2 linked regions of the Rattus norvegicus genome follow. The protein of the gene in region 1 interacts with the protein of each later gene in a pairwise test. Links are inferred from orthologs where the notes say so. Each region holds a gene or a part of one and is shown on either strand. Other genes may lie near its edges. The genes, in order: Tbl1xr1 and Arl2.

What was found.
Region 2: the proteins of Tbl1xr1 (region 1) and Arl2 interact in binary tests that used the Homo sapiens proteins (3 or more experiments, as listed by UniProt). The two-hybrid records come from large-scale screens. The link is inferred for Rattus norvegicus from reciprocal best matches to the Homo sapiens genes TBL1XR1 and ARL2.

Annotation. Positions count from the first base shown.
Region 1 is NC_086020.1:106,727,788-106,734,248, reverse strand, and holds the start of Tbl1xr1 (F-box-like/WD repeat-containing protein TBL1XR1), read right to left. Parts: upstream 3,585-6,461; 5' UTR 3,471-3,584; intron 1-3,470. UniProt on the Homo sapiens protein: F-box-like protein involved in the recruitment of the ubiquitin/19S proteasome complex to nuclear receptor-regulated transcription units. Plays an essential role in transcription activation mediated by nuclear receptors.
Region 2 is NC_086019.1:212,864,560-212,870,355, forward strand, and holds part of Arl2 (ADP-ribosylation factor-like protein 2), read right to left. Parts: exon of another isoform or gene 4,529-5,796; intron 3,056-4,528; exon of another isoform or gene 2,144-3,055; coding exon 2,033-2,143; intron 1,944-2,032; coding exon 1,781-1,943; coding exon of another isoform or gene 1,703-1,780; intron 411-1,702; coding exon 330-410; intron 1-329. UniProt on the Homo sapiens protein: Small GTP-binding protein which cycles between an inactive GDP-bound and an active GTP-bound form, and the rate of cycling is regulated by guanine nucleotide exchange factors (GEF) and GTPase-activating proteins (GAP).

The sequences.
Region 1 (6,461 bases):
ACTCTAAGTTATCAGTGGGTCAAAAAGAGTTAATGGGCTTAAAAATACTAAACACCTGCAAGTCTATTCCAGATACTGGGAGAGTGACAAGAGAATCAGAACCCATGCCTGCTCTCATCCAGGTTAAATACGCAGATAGGAGGAGGAGGTGTCAGTAGAAGAAAACACTCACACCATGTTTTTCATAAAAATGGTAAAATGGTAATAGTAACAAGAAACCTAAGCGTCACATGGGACGAGCACTACTTCAGTGTGCATGCCTATCTCAGGGCAGAGCCTGATACAAAGAACAAAGCAGCTATGGCAGGAGCAAAAGCATCCCTGGGTACGGAGCTGCCAGGGTTGTTCAGCAGTGCAGAGGGGAATCACTGTGAAGTTTGAGATGTGCAGTCAGGAAAGGTCAGTCCTCGCATACTAAAGAATAACTGTCCCCACTTTGCTTTTATTCACTGTGTTTTATTCTCATTACATTTTTGGTGGTAGTGGTGGTGATGGTGGTCTTAGTGTTCTTTTGTGTGCCATAGTCTTACATAGCCCAGGCTTGCTCTGTAGCCAAAGCTAGCCTTGAAGTTCTGATCCTCCTGCTTCCACCTTCAAAGTGTTAGCATTACAGGTGCAGACCACCGGACCACCATACTCAGCCTTTTTGTTTGTTGGTTCAATTTTGGGGACCAAATCTCACCATGTAGTCCTGGCTATCCGGGACTAACTAAGTAGACCAGGTTAGCTCCTGGTTGCAATCCTCCTCCTGACTCTGCCTTATTGAGATTACAGACTGTGGCCAGTTTGAGGAAATAGAAAAGGAAGGCAACAAATGTCAACAAACATCTCCACAGTGCCACACAGCAGCACATGAAGGTGTTTCTGCTACATATTCTCAAACTCCGACTGGTGGAAAATTTCAATTTACGTAAAATCAAATGCTGAAGACAACAGGAATTTAAAACAGAAAAATGGGGCACTCAAAACCCATACAACTAAGGAGACTAGGCTGATTCCATGACAGGCTTCAAACTGGCAGTTCAGGCGGCTAGGCCTAAATTTGTATCCAAGAACTGGGCAATTCCAGGCAACCCCAGGCCTCAGAAGCTGCCCTACCACCTGGCCTGAGGCAAGGACAATGGGTCAGCAGCATTTCCAGACTTCCCCCAGCAAGTTTACAGCCCCCACAGTCCCCAAGAGAATGTCCTTAGAGATGGGACCCAACAGATTAACATAAGGGTCACCAAACCCGGAATGCCCTAATGTGCTTTAAATCAGGCATAAAAGCTCTATTCTGGTAATGGGAGAGCCCAGCATGCTGGACTTCTGTAGAAAAAAAAAAAAAAAAAAAAACACTCTGCATTTACATACTATTGAGAGTTCAGGGTATCATTCTTTGCCGAATCATGGACCCTTACACAACTTTAAAACAAACATTACCAAAATTAACAATCCAAATTAAAACACTAGTAAAAATTTTAGTGGCTAATTTCTCAGGAGAAAAATGTTTAATTTCAGGTAGAAAAATAAAACCACTGTTTGACTGCTGGACAAGACTTGAACAGAATATCAGAATTGCAGTAAGACAAAAAGCCTGGATCCCTTAGAGTCACCCTAGCACCAGGGAGGCCGATGCTAAGACAGGGACTTAACTACAAATTTAAGGCCAAACTAGTCTACGTATCATTTTCCAGGCCAGCAGGACTATAGTATGGGGCTCTCTCCCAAAAATGAAAAGGGGGGAGGGTGTACCCCTGAAAAGGAAGAATTTAGTAACCTCCTGAGTTGCTCTACTGTTCCTCCTCAGGCAAAATAAGAACGAGGAGAGGGAGGGTGCAGAAGCCAGAGCAGCTGTCTCCTTAACGCCACAGAATTTCCCTGTTTTCCACACCCTGAACCATTCTTTTGAGCTTGTCCTCAAATTTCCACTCTACTTAAACCCATAACAAATATGCAGTATTTTGCAAGGAAAGGAAGTGAGTAAAGTAAATGAGTCTAAGCTTTCCTTTATTCCTGAACTCAGCAGCGTCCATCCTACTACCACATGACAACTCAACCCTCAGGCAGCTTCACACCACAGCCATTAAGTTACAGCATGTACACGTAAGTGTGATGTCATATGGGCATGTGGGCACGGAGTGCTGCCCACCATGCACAAGGGCAGGTCAGAGGACAACTTCGAGAAGTTGTTTCTCTCATTCAACATGTGAGTCCTACAGACTCAACTCAGACTACGATGAGTCTTGGAGGTAAGCAAACTTACCTCACTGGCCAACATCATAATGTTTGCTTAAAGATAACAGTACACTCGTCATCTGACAAAGGAACCCAAGAAAGACAAAGGAGTCATGAAGCACCACAGCCTGCTCTGCACAAGAGCTGACCCAAAAAGGAAAGAGACTGAGAACTGCCAAGTGCAAAAGCACATCCACAAGCAAGCAGAGCACAGCTACAAGGGGTCAATTACCCACCTAAAGGGTACAAAAGGAAGAGCCCAAAGGAACTAACCCCTCCTGACTTCCACCAGGGCAAAGTGTCAGCACAGACTTCTCATTGCAATATCCTTCCTAATTTAAAATTTACTGGTGAATTTCTAATTCTTTGAAAATATCAATGAAGTATTGTGGCAATCACTTTAGTTCATTCGTAGACTGGAAGCCCTGTTTCCTCAAATGCAGATCTGGTTCTGAAGAAATAATCAAGATGTTCCCTTCTGACGTATGATTTGAAAACGCCAGATCCTGACAGCTCACTTAGCTCCTCACCCCACACATTCCTCTACTCCCACATCTCCAGGAGCCCAAGTTTCGGATTATCTAGGAAGTTTGTATCAGTAGCTAAGGATGTGGCCAGCTCACAACTGTGGGAGCTACTTCTATTTCTCCCAACTCTGATCCTCTTTTCTCTTCTATCTGTTTTGTTGCAACTCATAATCATGAATGAAGGAACTCTGCCATCAATCAACATTCGACACAGACCAGAGAAGAAAGTAAAGTTCCTTACATGACACAGCAAGTGACTCAAGGGCTAGCAGGAAACAGAATTAATAATTTGTGCACTGCACAGCCTCAAAGCCCTACGTGTACACCACAGTGAAAGGGTGGGCCACCTAAGGTATATGGTGCTCCAAGAGCTCACAAAAAGACCAGAACCAAAGAGAAATGGTTTAGCAGGGAACCAGATTACAAAGAACAGGGAACCAACATGGCAGACCAGTCAATGACTCAATCAGCTATAACTACTAACCTCAGGTCCAAGTCTTCCTTACCTCAGTTGTGGGAATATTTCTTGTTTTAACAGCTTATCCTAACCCCTCACCTCCCAAAAAAGATTCTAGAGGTGGCCCAACCTACAAAACCAGACACCCGAGCAGATTCGGATAATCTTATACTTTGAACACAATGAGTTGAACTGCTAGGCCACCCTCTTTTCTGGGCTTATACGGCCTTCAAAGAGACAAGGGTCTGGAAGGACCAGAAACCGCACACATCATTTGGAAAGCCTCACCAATTCAGTACGAACAGAGTGCAGTTTGTACTTCACCAGGAGCTCCTGGTGAAACACTGGTAAGACAAGTGTCCTCAGGAAGGCCCTACCTGGTCACAAACAGACAACTGCATCAAGGACGTGTCTGCAGACATCTAGTCTAGAAAAAAGTGACAGCTCACGGACCCCAACACAAGACTTAAGGAAAAAGCCAGGCACACTGACCCACCTATGATGCCAACACTCAGGAAGCTGAGGTAAGAAGATGAGCTCAGGACTAGCCTGGGCTACGGAAGAATGTCATGGGCATGGAACAATAAATATGATCATAATTGATTTGTCTGAGTTCAGAATGTCAACTTTCTTTCTTCCTATCCTGAATACTGATTCTAAACTCATAAACATTGAAAAGTATATTCTATATTATCTCAAATCCACAGTTCCCAACTTCACTGAATTAATAATAGTATTAAATATTATAATCAATTTATAGGTTTAAAAAGAATGGTCATAGGCCATGGAGAAATGAAGCTGGTGACTGGAAGCCTTCTGCCTGCTTGCTCACTGTCATAGTACCGCCAGTTGTTACCCAGGCTGCTGGAGAAGAAACATCTTCAACAGTCTCACTGTGAACCCCATGAGCTGTAGTAATAACTAGCGGGGTTAGGATGTCCCTAGAGGTACAGTAGTGGCACATTATGTTACAAGGGTAGCCAGGGGCTTTTTTCTTTTCTTGTTTTCCTTTAATTGGTTCTAGGGCCAGTTCCACAGGAAGAAACTTCTATCTGGTACTCTAAGGTTGGCCAAGAACCCATGGCTTCTAAACCAGGGGTGAAAATACTATTACATTGCTAAATGAATATAATATCAAACTAGCTCTAGATAAATATCCGTACCCACACATTAGTGCAGCACTCAGACCTTAGGAGACAGCATCTTTGCGCAGTGGAGGATAGTTAATACACGAATGGTCAGAATACAGATCTGTGGAGTATTCAGCCATCTATGGGTCCCCAAAGTTCAGGGAGCATCAAGAATGAGTGGGTAGGGAAAGACTGCGAGAACCAGAGGTTCAGCAGGACTATACTAAACAGTGTCTCTAAACACGAAAGGACTGATGCCCTCACAAATTCTCCGCTGCTGTGGTTGCCTGTGTAAGACTTGCATAATTATCAAAACCAGTCAATATTCCAGTATAGAAGGGCTAATTAGCCCCCACCCCTAAAAGCTGATAATGACAGTTGATGGCTTCTGGGAGAGGGAGAGCCAGTTTTATCTAAGGGTAGATCAGCAATGCTCCACTGGCTGACCCCACACCAATGTGTATAGGAGCAGCAGAAATTGGACTAATTAGGGTAAGAAAAAAAAAGGTGACTTGAGAGAGAGAGAAAGAGGGAGGGGGGAGCACGAGCAAATAAACATGAAGTTGGGAAGTAAGGTAAGAGGTGGAGATACAGGGGGAAAATATAACCAAACCTGGGGGAGGGGGACAAACAAACAGGAGAAGTACAGAAAATGACTGTAGCCCAGCTCCCCCGCACCAACAACCCGTGTGCTTTATTTCAGTTACTTCTGCGAAAACAAACAGCATTGTTTCTTTCGCCCAGTGTTGAATGAAAATCAATGACATCATAGTTTTTCATGGCATTTACATATACATGGGAAATGACTGACCCAGGTGTGGAGAAAATGTGCAACTTATCTACTACGTTAGCAACTTTCCTCTTGAAGCATCAGTGTTAGCAAACACAACATAAAGCAGGGTGTCTGGGACAAACATGGTTTCAGATTCCTATAAGCTTCGCACTTGGCAAGGCATATCAAGGTATCTACTACATAACAATTTGCCAAACTGGGCTACCAGAAAACCTACCTGGGGGGGGGGGGGGATCAACACCAAAAATACCTACATATTTTAAACACAGAAAAACTCTACACTGCCCAATCTTCTTGGCTATACTGCTACTTCCCATACAAAGGCCAGCAGGGGGTGGAGACAGTTTGCTGAGAACCAGAGTTTAGCCTTCAGCACCCACATCAGGCATCTCACAACCATGTGTGACTACAGCTAAGACACCCTTCCCCAGCCTCAGAGGACACTGTACTCACATGCACAAACCCACACTCAGCACAGACACATCATATTTTAAAAACATCTCTTTTAATGTTAGGGCATGAGGCAGCAGCCAGCACAGAGACCTCCTCCTTGCCAGCCCCACACTGACTCCTTTACAAGCATCCTCATTTCAGCCCTCACAGCCAATCCGTGAACAAAGCTATCCTTTACTTCCACTACCAGATGTGCAAACCAACTGGATCACGTGATCTCACAAAACCATCCACAGATAAATAGGAGGGACAGGAATCAAGCCAGCACTTCCTGGAGCTGGGAACATGCTAGAGTAAAGTCTGCTGCCAATTCCAACAGACCCTGTCCAGTCTCCAGTTACCACTGAGAGAGGGCACGGCCTTAGGAAGGCTGACATACATCTTGTCAGTGCCACAGTCTTTAGCATGTATTCAAGTTACTCCAGCTGGGGCTGAAAATGAGGAACACAATAACTGGGAAGCCAGCCCCTGCGTCAGCAGTCTACATTACTAATGGGTAAGTACAAGTGACACAGCTCTAAGTGATAGCAACTGCAACCAAAAGCAGAATAGAAATCTAATGTTTCCATGGAGTCAATACAGTCCCTATGTTATATAAGATCCAGGCAGAATCCACACAGTAACACAATCCTACCAAACCAAAGATTACCACAATACTAAAACCAACTACCAGCCGACGAGAATCGGGTTTCACCTGATTACCAAACCTCTGACAAAGTAGTGCCTTTGAAATAAAAATACTGAGGTCTTGCTGGACAACTATTCCTCTTTATCAACTTTAAAAAAGACCCAGCTACAATAAATACCAACATGTGTTGTGGTGGCACAGACCTTCGTTCAGCACCTGTGGGGCAGAGACAGGTGGATTTCTGTGAGTTCAAGAC
Region 2 (5,796 bases), on another chromosome or scaffold:
ATCAAAAATAAATAAAATAAGATGGGGCCTGGGGGTGGAGCTCAGCAGAGCTGCCTAGCATGCACAGCCATGGGAGCGAACACTAGCACTGCAGAAACCGGACGTGGTGGTACACACCTGGAATCCCAAGTGCTCGGAGGTGGAGGCGGAGGCAGGAGGATGAGTGAGTAGTTCAAGGTCATCCTCGGCTTCCTAGTAAGTCTGAAGCTTCTAGGGCTGTCAAGACCCAGTTTCAAAAAAACAAAACAAAACAACAGTAAAATCAAAATAATAAAGTCCTAAAGACCCTTCAGCTTTACTCAGTGGACCTGAACCAGGGCCTGACTCACCTCCTGAATAGCATTACAGGACAGTGCTCCAGGCAGGTCCTGCTTGTTGGCAAAGATGAGGAGGGTCGCTCCAGCCAGGCGCTGGGGAAAGAGAAGATGGGTTGGGGGTGGGGGAAGCTTCACATAGAGCTTGATCCCTTTGGTATAAGACATGAGGTTGGTGGTCAGTAAGAGAGCTCCAGGCTGTGGAGGAGGCCCACAGGGGGCAGGCAGTAGACAGGGCTACTGATGCTACCACACAGTGGGTATCTCTCTCTTCCAAGCCTCAGGAAGAGGATGTTGCCCACAATGATCCCCAAGCCCTCTGTAGCTCTGGCCATGTGCAGAAAGCATAGGTGTGCTGAGGGCTGCCCTGGGGACTGGGATAAAACAACCTGCCCTGTCCTCCCAGTTCACAGAATCCTTGTGTTTTACTTCCAGCAGACGGCCCTGTTGGTCTCTCTACTTAATCCCCTTGGTGTGCTAGTCTTTGGAACCTCTCCTGGTGCAAACAGAAATCTAACTTCTGGGCCTAGCCCTGCTGAGCCTTGACTCAGCCTCTGACAACAATGACCTCTCTAGACCTGTTCAATGCTACAGAAGGGGCTGAAGTCATACCAGGGGCATGTGTAAACCTAAAGTCCCATGCATCCCTGTGGTTCCCATACAGCCATTAGCAACTCCCTCTTACTCTCGCAAAAGTGCCCTGGCCTTCAACTAACTGAAATGTGGCAACATGATCCAAGTTCCAGGGCAGACAGAGCAGTGTCCAAATAAAACTAGCAGCTGAAGGTAACAGTAATGCCTGAGCATGGCTAAGGGGTGCCCACTGTAAGCCTGGCATTCAGGAGGCTAAGGCAGGAGGAGAAAGAGTTTGGAGCCAGCCTGGACTACATAAGGAAACCTGATCTCAAACACCTACCCCAACTCTGCTGCCAAACAAACAAACAAGCCCAAAACCAAAACACCTGCCCAAACAAATGAGTAGCCAACAATGAAGGAGTGTGGCACGCACGTCATTTGGGAAGTAGAGGCAGGTGGACCAGGATTTCAAGGACAGTGTTAGCCAGTTTGGGCCAGCCTGAGATGAGTAAAACTCTGTTGTCAACATAACAAGTCTTTCGATCCAGACAACAAATGGCAAGATTGGCCTAATCACTGCTTTAGGAATGTGGGAGTTAAGGCTCAGGTTAAGGGTCTTCCAGAAGCCACACAACAAGGTTAGATTCCTGTGTAAGCTTCACTGCCCCCCTGAGCATTGCTGGCACCCTAGCCTTGAGGCCCCTGCAGCAATGGGACTGAAACTCAGGGAGGTGGGAGGTGAACCAGTAAAAGCAGAGATGTGCGTCTGTCCAGGTCTCAGCTCAGGGCCCACTAAGTGAGTGGACCCCTACCTCCCTCCCTGAGTGTCCCAGTAAACCATGGCACTTGTGGCAGGCTGTGGCCTGGCTGCCAGTGAGCACAGGGCACACCTCCTCCACCAGTAGACTCTGCAGCTCTCGCTGACAGTCCTGCATGCGCTGGCGGTCAGCGCTGTCCACCACCCAGATGAGGCCATCTGTGCTCTCGAAGTAGTTCCTCCAGTAGGAGCGCAGAGACTTCTGGCCACCCACATCCCAGATGTTCAGCTTGAATCTGGGAAGGAAGGGACAATGGAGGTCAGGCTGGTCCTGCCCTCCCAGCCTCCTCCCAGCCCCACAATGGCCCACAGTGACCCCACTCACCCCCGGTGCTCCAGGGTCTTGATGTTGAAGCCCAGTGTTGGCGAGATGGTGTCCACATCTTCTCCATTGAACTTCTTGAGGATGGTTGTTTTGCCAGCATTGTCCAAGCCACTGGGGTACACAGGCTAAGGAGATGTCCCTGAGCTCTCCTGGAGGACATGTCATCACCCTACCACTCTCCTAGGGACTGGTATTTCCCTACTGCATGTTGAAGCAAGTTGAGCACACACCTCACCCATAATTGGACTGAGATAAATGTGGAAGTATGAAAATGGAATTCTATCATGTCGGCCATCTCAAAGTAACTTAATTTACACACCAAATATTGAGTGCCTACTAAGTGCCAGGCCCCCTCAGCTGTTAGTGGACAAAGCCACCACCCTTATGAAACACACACTAGCAAAATGACTAAATTAAAAGACCCCCTCCCAGAAAGGGAATTATACAAGCCCAAGGCCCTCAACTATAGAAGTAAAAAATAAGTTTTTAGATATGTGGGACAAGCTGACCCATCATTTAGACGAAACAGACCAGAAAAGAAAACAAAATACAGAAACCAGACTAAATTATGGGCACTGCTCCATGGGCCACCTGACAAGAAAAAGAAAAAGTCCCTGACCCCCCGGAAGCCCTGACCACCATGTACTTTTTGCTAACTCACTGTTATGATTATAGCCAAAATAGGTAACATACACGTATGCCTCATTTACTCCACCAATCACATCCCTGTAACCATGCATCTGCTTCTGTAAGCCTGCTTCTGCTCCCCAATGCCCTATAAAAACCCGTCCCTGGTTCTGCTAGGCGCACCAGTCTTCCAAATTGACTGGGACGCCCACAGATACCTGTGCTCCCTGATCAATAAAAAATCCTCTTACAGATTACAGCCGGTGGACTCGGACTGGTCATTGGGGCTTGAGGATCTCCCTCCTGAGAGAAGATTCTCTCTGAGAGTCTTACATATGGGGGCTCGTCCGGGATCGGAGATCCTCTGCCTAGAGACCACCGACCACCCACCGGGAGGTAAGCTGGCCAGTGTTTGTCTTGTCCTGTCTTGTCTTGCTTTGTGACTTGTTCTGTAAATGCTTAGTTACTTGGCTTGGGTCTAGACCGTTTGTATTTGGGCGGGCCAGAGAAGGAGCTGACGAGCTCGGACTTCTCCCCCGCAGCCCTGGAAGACGTTCCAAGGGTGTTTAGAGCCCGGTTTTTCGGGGCTCAGCCTGTATCGGAAGGATACGTGGTTTTGGGTTGGAGGAGAGAGGAGAGAGCCGGATCCACTGAAGGATCCGGACCCTCGTCACCTCTGTCTGAATTTTTGGTTTCAGTTTGACACTGAAGCCGCGCGGTGCGTCTGTCTGTCTGACTGTTGAAATTGTTTGTCTTCTTTGTGTCCTAATTTTCTTTGAATATCTGTGGAAATTGGTTATAGGATGCTTTGTCTTGGTCTTGTTTGTCTGGTTTGTTTTCTGTGGTATTGTCCAGTGTCTTTTTGGCTTTTGTTTCGTTTTTGGACTTTGGACAGACGACTGTGTTTAAAATCTTGGACTGACAACTGTGTTTGAAATCATGAAACTGTTTGCTTTGTTTGTCAAGGAGTTTTACTTGGTCCTCTTGGTGCTTAACTTGGAAATAATTTGCTTGAGAAAAATTGTTTTCTGCCAGGGAGTTTTATCTTTCTCTCTTAGCCTCCTCCCCAAGGAGAGATGCCCCTCCCTTTGCTCCCCTTGTCCAGTCTAGCTGCTGTTAACAGTTGTGTATGAAGAACTCCAGGTTAGTGAGTGACCCTGTCTGAAGCAGGTATTAACAAGAGCCTGAAAGCTTTACCTTGGATCCTGAAGAAAAATTTCTCCCTGTTGCTTAAACATTCACAGCTTCTAAGGAAGGGAGCCTGCCTTATCTGCTGGCCCTATTCCAAGAGAGGAGTTGATCTCCAACATTAAATAACCTTCCCTGTTAGTCATCATTGACATGGAGAGTGCCTTTGATCCTATCCCCACAGCAGCCAGTTCCTGCCCCTGTGGTCAAAATGCCCCAGGTTGGGGGACAGAGAAGCCCCTGAGATAGTTTCAGAGGGAATCTACAACAAACTGTGAAGAACTTTGTTTTGCCAGTCAAAATTTAGAATTCAAGCTTTGGCTGTGGCCAAGGTCAGTATTAATGTTTTCTTTTCCATGGACCTTTAGCCCACTGAGACAGTTTGGTAAAGGGCTGCTACTGAGGTCCTGAAAGTCCCAGGTGAACTGGTTACAATTCTTTTGTCAGCCACTTGGCATCTAGCACCCAGGTCCTAACCATCTCTCCATCCTTTTGTTATTAGTTCTTAAGTCCAGAGAGATAGTCAGTAACAGATCAGCTCCCTCTCTGCTTGCCGTTCTGTTTCACAGACACAAAGCTTGTGCTTATTTTTACAACGGCCTTTTTGTCCCAAAAAGTCCTCCTGGTTTAGCTGTGTGACTAAATGCTATTTGTCCTCTTCAGTGGACCTCTATTCTCTAGACTGTTACAGGTCTTCTTTACCACTGAGGAAAGACGGAATCCTACTAGAGGCCAAAAAGAATGTTCCAGACATGGATAGAAGACCCTCACTCCTGACTGTTGACTTGAATACCCCTGAAGGTAGGGAGTGCTCCAGGTCTGCCACCAGGCTCCAAGGGTGGGTCTCCGAGGGGCTAAAAAATGCCCCACCAATCTGGCTAAGATAAAAAAAAGATATAAAGAGAGAAAGTTACAGAAATTTAAAGGGTTAAGCTAAGTTGCTGAGAGTTAGTGTAAGTTACAGAAAAAATAAAGTTAAAGTGTAGTTACATAAGTGGACAACATCTAATAGCTGTAGAAGAAGATGCAGAAGGTATGAGAGAGAGACTGAGGAAGAAAAAGAGGAAAGAAGGTAAAAAGAGCAGGAAGCTAAGGAAGAAAAGAGACAAAAGGAAAAAGAAGCTAGAGAGCTAAAGAGAGATAAAAGACAGGAGAGGAATATATACTGGCCACAGTAGTTAGGGAACCTAGGAAGACAGTACCTGGCAACAGAAGAGAATTCCTAGCTAAAGATCAGTGTGCCTATCGCAAGGAAAAAGGACACTGGGTCAGGGACTGCCCCAAGAAGAACAAGAGGGGCCTCTCCAGCAGCCCGGAAGGCAAGTCTCTTGGTCCTAGAGTGCTGGCTGTCCGCAAAGATAGAAGGGAAGCCTGCCCAGTTGTTTTGTGAATACGGGGGCCCAACACTCTGTGCTCCTACGCCCAAATGGGCTAGTGTCCAGCAAAAGACCTTGAGTACAGGGGACTACCGGCAACAAATGATACTCATGGACTACCCGAAGAACAGTGGACCTTGGCGTGGGCCGGGTATCCCACTTGTTCTTTGTGATTCCAGACTGCCCCTACGAGTCTAAACCCTGCAACCCTGCTCCTGGACCCTGACCTAGACACCCCCCTTCATGACTGTCAACAGGAGCTCACTAAAGCACAGGAGTGGCATAAAGATCGGACTGATCAGCCAACAGAGGGGGTAGATGCCATCTGGTTCATAGATGGGAGCAGCTTCTTACAGAAGGAAAAAGATGGGCTGGGGCAGCAGTGGTAGATGGAAACAGAGTCATATGGGCTCAGGCCCTACCAGAAGGCACCACTACTCAGAGAGTAGAGCTCGCTCCCCTTACCAAAGCCCTTGGGCTGAGAAAGAGACTTAACATCTATGTGGACAGCACGTATGCCTTTGCTACAGCCCATCAACAGAGGGGCCTGCTGACATCTGAGGACAAGAAAAA